2 linked regions of the Oryza sativa Japonica Group genome follow. The protein of the gene in region 1 interacts with the protein of each later gene in a pairwise test. Links are inferred from orthologs where the notes say so. Each region holds a gene or a part of one and is shown in the gene's direction. Other genes may lie near its edges.

Evidence for each region.
Region 2: the proteins of SPO11-3 (region 1) and TOP6B interact in binary tests that used the Arabidopsis thaliana proteins (3 or more experiments, as listed by UniProt). The link is inferred for Oryza sativa Japonica Group from reciprocal best matches to the Arabidopsis thaliana genes RHL2 and TOP6B.

What each region holds. Positions count from the first base shown.
Region 1 is NC_089037.1:9,846,054-9,850,471, forward strand, and holds SPO11-3 (topoisomerase 6 subunit A3), read left to right. Parts: upstream 1-1,643; 5' UTR 1,644-1,974; coding exon 1,975-3,303; 3' UTR 3,304-3,743; downstream 3,744-4,418. Other genes in the region: cysteine-rich receptor-like protein kinase 25, read left to right, coding at 384-533, 648-730; pentatricopeptide repeat-containing protein At5g02830, chloroplastic, read right to left, coding at 4,241-4,418. UniProt on the Arabidopsis thaliana protein: Component of the DNA topoisomerase VI involved in chromatin organization and progression of endoreduplication cycles. Relaxes both positive and negative superturns and exhibits a strong decatenase activity. Involved in cell-elongation processes.
Region 2 is NC_089043.1:10,209,015-10,212,114, forward strand, and holds the end of TOP6B (DNA topoisomerase 6 subunit B), read left to right. Parts: intron 1-593; coding exon 594-685; intron 686-776; coding exon 777-915; intron 916-982; coding exon 983-1,077; intron 1,078-1,511; coding exon 1,512-1,686; intron 1,687-2,052; coding exon 2,053-2,199; 3' UTR 2,200-2,540; downstream 2,541-3,100. UniProt on the Arabidopsis thaliana protein: Component of the DNA topoisomerase VI involved in chromatin organization and progression of endoreduplication cycles. Relaxes both positive and negative superturns and exhibits a strong decatenase activity. The B subunit binds ATP.

The sequences.
Region 1 (4,418 bases):
ATCTCGTAACGAAAAAAACAAAATTGACTCTAAATATACGTTAACTAACTGCGGTTCAATTTGTTTTTTCATACGAGATGTAGAAGTTGAATTTGAACTTGCATGTTTGTGGAGTGTTATATCACATGTTAATACACATTCTCTATTTTTTTTAAATTTTTTCTTAACCATTTAAGTGACATGCAAAGAATGATTTCCCGTTCTTCTAACTCGTTGTTCGTCATTTGTTCCAAGTTTAGGTTTGTGTTCATAGATACATTTAAATTTGAATCTTCACAGTTTATACAAAATTAGGAGAAACAATGGGAAAAAAAAGAAAAAGAAGTTACAATAATACTCCTATACGACAAGAACCTGTCGATTTTGTTTATCAATGGCTGCAGGCAATTTGACCGCAGCAGACATCGTGAGTGCGACTGCCTTCGTCATAGTGATGATCTTCCTGGTCAATTTATTAGTTTGTTTGATGACAGACGCCTTGAATAATTACTGGATTCGTTCTGCCAAGGAAGAAGAAGCATCACCACCAGCTGGCAAGTTCTCTCTCCTGTTTACTATTATTTTTCCTGTTTAGTCTAGTAACAAATTAACTAATTGCTGGTTGATTGTTTTGATCGTAAAATATGTGTTGCAAATTGACAATGCAGGTCATGTACGAGGAAATGTTGCTGCTGTGAAGGCAGCGCAGATCGTGCCAACTCAGTACGCAGATCAGAGGATTGCTGTCTGAGTTCTATACGCCGGCTAGTGTAGAAGCTTGGCCACTGCATTGGCCATTAATTTCCTGGGTGTTATATATGTGTCATGTGAACCCACTCTACCTAAGTATTTACAGCTAGATATATAGCTTGATCTGGCTAAATTGGCTCAGTGGCCAATTAATTAAGTGTGTACTCTTTATTGTCTCGTCCGAACACAACTACTTGTATGTCCAGTTGAAAACAGTACGTGGCCATCGTGCCTTGCACCAAGGTATATATTGTTGGGTATTTGGTTTTCTCTCCACGCTTGTATATATTGGAGTTATATCACAAGCTAGTGTGTATCTCACCTTGCAAATTTGATGTTATCTGAAGCCACAGAATTTGAAATAACAACAATGCAACTATATGAGGCATTTCATAAGAAAAAGCTGCTCTTATTAAAATTTATTCATTCCCCATAGAATAATCCACAAATATTACATATATACAGCTGTGCTTTTGATATGTTTTCTGTGAGATATGTATTTGCCAATTATCCCCATATCTCTTTGAGCGTGTGCCATGACGCACATTCGCATGTGCGTGAGCGTGGCACTAATGTGTAGCTGTATGTATATCCGTGTCTTCCGTGTAATTGAGAAAAAAAATAAATCAACTTATTTTTAAAAGGGTCAACACACCATCCCCATATCCATGTTTTTGAAAATCTTTGGTGGACTTTCTTAATGTTTTTTCACAGCGATTTAAGTTTGTAAAATTGTGCCATGTCTTCCCTAAAAAAAAAATCCCTCAAAAAAAATTGTGCCATGTCAATGAAACGCTGACCGAGTCATCAGATATGGCTTATGTGCCTCATTGCTTGCCAAAGATTTATTATAAACTGTATGATAACAAAATAATTTGTGTATAAAAATTTTATATATGGGTTCTTAGCAACTTAAAAATCCATATAAAATAAAGTACGTTAAAAATATCTTAAAATTAACTTTAAAATAATGTTTGAAAATTCAAAATTTAGCTTCTAACACTTTTTAGGTGTACCGATGGGCTCAGAAGTTTCGGCTCACCTCACCACTTCACCAACCTATCTGGCCCGCTCACTACCGGCACAATCCTTCTCTTCCGGACTCTCCCCAACCACGCCGCAGCAACACGCGCCCAGACTCTAGTCGAGTTCAGCACTTCAGCCCCGCCGCCGTCTCCGCCGCTCAAAGCGCCCAAACCAAAATCCCCTAGATTTCCCCACGCCCCCGCCTCCAAATCTCTCGACATGTCGGAGAAGAAGCGCCGCGGCGGGGCAGGCGCGGGGGCCGCGTCGGGCTCCGCCTCCAAGAAGCCGCGGGTCTCCACGGCGGCGTCGTACGCCGAGTCGCTCCGCTCGAAGCTCCGCCCCGACGCCTCCATCCTCGCCACCCTCCGCTCCCTGGCCTCCGCCTGCTCCAAATCCAAGCCCGCGGGGTCGTCGTCGTCGTCGTCGTCCGCCTCGAAGGCGCTCGCAGCCGAGGACGACCCGGCCGCCAGCTACATCGTGGTGGCCGACCAGGACTCCGCCTCCGTCACCTCCCGCATCAACCGCCTCGTGCTCGCCGCGGCGCGCAGCATCCTGTCCGGCCGGGGCTTCTCCTTCGCGGTGCCCTCCCGCGCCGCCTCCAACCAGGTCTACCTCCCGGACCTCGACCGCATCGTGCTCGTCCGCCGCGAGTCCGCCAGGCCCTTCGCCAACGTCGCCACCGCGCGGAAGGCCACCATCACCGCGCGCGTCCTCTCCTTGGTCCACGCCGTCCTCCGCAGGGGGATCCACGTCACCAAGCGTGACCTCTTCTACACCGACGTCAAGCTCTTCGGCGACCAGGCGCAGTCCGACGCCGTCCTCGACGACGTCTCCTGTATGCTCGGCTGCACCCGCTCCTCCCTCCACGTCGTCGCGTCCGAGAAGGGCGTCGTCGTCGGGCGCCTCACCTTCGCCGACGACGGCGACCGGATCGACTGCACGCGCATGGGCGTCGGCGGGAAGGCCATCCCGCCCAACATCGACAGGGTCTCAGGCATCGAGAGCGACGCTCTCTTCATCTTGCTGGTGGAGAAGGACGCCGCGTTCATGCGTCTCGCCGAGGACCGGTTCTACAACCGCTTCCCGTGCATCATCTTGACGGCGAAGGGGCAGCCGGATGTCGCCACACGGCTGTTCTTGCGGCGGCTTAAGGTGGAGCTGAAGCTGCCGGTGCTGGCATTGGTGGACTCCGACCCATATGGGCTGAAGATCTTGTCAGTGTACATGTGTGGTTCCAAGAACATGTCATATGACAGTGCCAACCTGACAACACCGGATATCAAGTGGCTCGGAGTGCGGCCAAGCGATCTGGACAAGTATCGGGTGCCGGAGCAGTGCCGGCTTCCGATGACTGATCACGATATCAAGGTGGGGAAGGAGCTGCTTGAGGAGGACTTTGTGAAGCAGAATGAAGGATGGGTGAAGGAGCTGGAGACGATGTTGCGGACGAGGCAGAAGGCTGAGATACAGGCTCTCAGTTCATTTGGTTTCCAGTATCTCACTGAGGTCTATCTACCTCTCAAGCTGCAGCAACAGGACTGGATTTGAGGACCCTTTCTATGCTAGATGAATAGGTGAATTTTCATGCATTTATTTGACTACTGCGCTGTGCACTAGATTTATTTATTTAAAATAAGGTATTTTTGAGAATCAGTATTCCCATGGGCCATGGCTAGTCGAAGTCAAAAGGTAGCTCCAAAATGTTCAGTCAAAATGCATGGTTAACTAATTTCTATGTTAGATTAGGTTCTTTATGTTAGGTTCTTTAGGAAGTATTGCACACCCCTGACTGAGAGTTTGTAGGATCAAATTGATAAGGGTGACCAAGATTGCCTCGTAGTACCGTCAGATGTGGAAATCTTCTTCTAGCATTATGTATTTGAACAGCAGCTGCTGTGTGTATTCACTAATTTTTAAGAACATGGAAATGCTTACTTCAGCATGTATTCAGAGCAGGTATAGTGACAGGAAATTCAAATGTTACTGTGATATTACTCATGTATCCTGAGCATGTATTCAAAACAATGTATTCCAGCATTTATGTGCCAACTCCATGTTTGGATCAATGTAGAATTGGAGCTGTTCACATGTGTAACTGAGCACATCATGGCATGTTTTTAAGAGGCACAACAATACAGCCATGGGCATCTTGGACATTTGTTTTGCAATCAGGTTTCAAATCTTGAGCGAACAAACTTGTTACAAATCTATATTAGGCAATGGTGCTCAAAATCCACAGACAGTGGAGTATTTCACTGTACTCGGTCAGCATGTTTTTCAGTTTCCATGGAATTGCGGGGATTGCAAGTTTCCAGCAATAACCTAATAACTTTAATTCTGATGTTTTACCGTATCTGGATGGCCGTCCACAAATTCCTTCTTGTGAAACCGTGTTGGGTTGATGTCACTGAGTAGCACCAGCCAACCTGTACATCTGTATACACTACCTTATCTTAGGATGACTCTGCAAAAGGTTGAGGAACTGTCACTGCACAGTCCTCACAGCTTTCCTCTTCAACCAATGATTCAGAGAGTTGATCGGGATCTTTATCATCCCCTGCGGTCTCCTGGAAAAATGTTTAGAAGCTAGATCTAAATGACTCCTAGAACGAGCTGGAACTGTGGGTTTGGACGAAGCCGGGCGACTTCCAGGTCCAATTAAA
Region 2 (3,100 bases), on another chromosome or scaffold:
AGATAACAATGCCAGGATCAATCATGTGTGGAGACCTTATAGCCGAAAATGTCAGCTTGTGGTGTTCGAGGCAGACTCAGACACCACCACTAACATCATTTAAAGTAGTATAGATATAGATATCTGGATTAGCCTCATTACCTGATTTTATTTTTATATTGAATCAAACTCCTAGAAGGGTCTGGTTTTTCATTAAATAATGACTCACTTTGGAATGAAAAAAATTATGGCATTATGAAGTTGCAGTGAGCAATTTTTTTTTTTTGGGGTGGGGGTGTGTGGGGGGGGGGTTTGGAAGGGATTACCAAATTCAATTGCCTTGAAAATATAAGAAGAATAGTCAATCTTGGCTATTATCTGAGATTTTGTTGGCTCAGATTAGATTTTTAAAGTTACCTGCATATCCAATATCCCCAGAGTTGTTCCATTTTACTGATTCAGTTAATGAATATTAGTCCACATGAGTAAACATGTTACTTTTTTTACTAATATCATGCACTAAGTCCCAATTATGAGGGATCGCATCTATGTCCTGCATTTTCCTTGCTGACAAGCATACCGACGATTGGAATTCTCATATCTGTTGTATTCAGGGTCTAAACATTTTTAGATATGCGAACCGAATCCCACTTCTCTTTGAACAAGGTGCTGATGTCATCACAAGAACTGCTTTAAAAAGAATCAAGTAAGATTTCTTTTGTATTCGCAGATTCACTTCAACTGTAGTTCTAGATGTTGGCTCACATTTATAACTCTTGCCTTTCCTTGTCTTCTAGTTGGAGCAGCTACAAAATAAATCAACAGCAGGACAAGATTGGTGTCTTTGTTAGCATTGTAAGTACAAAGATACCTTTTAAAGGAACTGGAAAAGAGTACATTGGGGATGACATAACCGAAATAGCATCTGCTGTTCAGGTAGATCCACACATACCATATTTATTCTCTGTGAGGTCATGTAATAATGATCCTTTTCCCCCTTCAGTCAGCCCTTAAGCAGTGTTGTCTTCAACTGAAGTCAAAGATAGTAAAGAAACTACAGGCTCGTGAACGGCAGGACAGGAAAAGGAACCTAAACAGGTGATTTCTCCACCCGTATATCTATGCTGAAATATTTGGCATATGGTAATGTCTATTATTATTATTAGCATGGGTTCAAACTGTTGTTATTTTGAATTTTTTTATGTTATTCTGAAATCTGAATCTGTAATTTTGCTTAAGGACATATCCGTGATGCTTGTTGAATGTTGGGTAAGGTTTTGGTGGCATCATTGATATCAGGTTCACAATGGATAGTATGGACAAATAATAGCTTCGCACAACCTTGGCAGTATTCATTTGTCAGGCTAGATTTTTTTGGCACGTGCATGTGCGTTTCTGCAGTGGCAGCACTCATGATTTATTCATAGATCTAGTTAGGGACAAATATTAATTCGGAGTGCTTTATCACATGACAGGAAGCACTTTGCAAGTACGTATATGATATATTTACGTGCTCTCTTTTCCATTTGCAGATACATTCCTGATGTTGCGAGGGCAATTATGGAGACTCTGGGAGAAATTGCAGATGAGTCTCCCCCAAAGAGGCCACGTTATGATAAGGAAGATGAGGAACTCCTTGAGAAAGTAAACTCTGAGGAGGTGACAGAGATGACCTTTAGGGATTGCTTAACACAACATGTTGAACAGGTAAGAAAAATGCTCAAATGCTTGCTCTGTTTTAATTTAGTGTCAGTAGCAACGCATGTCTTGTTCTGGTCAATAGCAAAGCATGACTAGAGTCTTTCACCTTTCTTTTACGAACTAGCAGCAGCATTTGCTCTAATAGACATCTGGTTCAAAATGACTATTATTTCTGAAATGCATTTTGGCATCTCAATGGTTAAAATCCTAGAACCCTGATGACATTTCAATGGTTAATTCTGTTTCAAATTGCTAACGGGGTTAGGCCATGAATCCTGATGGAAACTAGGTCCCAAATGTCCTGCTACTATCTACCGTTTTGAGTTTTTTTTACACTGATTTTTGATGGTTTTAACATGAAACAACAACCAGGTTGATTATGAAATGGCATTGGAGTACGCCATGCAGAGTGGAGTAAGCGAGGAACCTCGTGAAGCATTATATTTAAACTCCCTTGAAGGATCTTACAAGTTTATCGATTTCCAGAGCCCTGTTTTTGTGTTCAGATTTATTCCTTGAGAGTGCAACTTGCATGTCCATCTGTTGCTAGGTTGATTAATATTTACTTCCCATAATCCCATTGTACTGCGGATGTTTTATGAACCTTTTGCCGATTCAGCAGTCATGACCGCAAGTTTGTAACTTACACATTATAGATTTTTAGAGTAGTTTAGGTCCATGATATGTTTGTTGCATTCATGGAGATTTTTATTTTTCAATTTTTCTTTAACATATGGGAGTTCACTTCTACCCATTCAATTTTAGGAATAGGAAACATTAGAGAGTGTGTTTGCTGGTATGATTATAAGTTATACTACATAATTATGTGTTAAATTGATTTAGATCCAAGATATGCTTGCATACTGCGTTATTCGAGAACAGCCTTGTAAACAGACTATGGACGTCACGGACTGGAGGGTGGCTGTGAACGGCGATGTCCCCTTCGGCCGAGACCTGTGGTTCGAGCCAAGCGAGGAGTCGATATATCACCTTGAGGGAAGACACATATTTGTTATCGGATATTGTACTTGTTAAAATATATATTTTTCGTTGAATAAGAGAGAAATAGGGTGAGAGGTTAGAAATACCCCTAGCGGCCTAGCTTCATATATCAGTCCGCCATTTCTCTTCCCTCTCTCCGTATTACCTCCAATCCCCACCGCAGCGCCAGCCCCGCCTATCTTCCATCGTGGCCGTGGCGGCATGACCCCGACTTTCACTGCGCCCGGCCTTGCCGCGCAGTGTCGCACGCGATCATGCCGGCTTGGCCTTCCGCCCGATCCTGTCAGGGCATTCACAGTGCGTCACGAAAGTTTTTATGTTTCTCACATGCCACCTAGACCAAGAACAATACTAGCTACATGTTCCACGAAGTTTTGGTATTCCTCACATGCCACCTAGACCAAGAACAATACTAGCT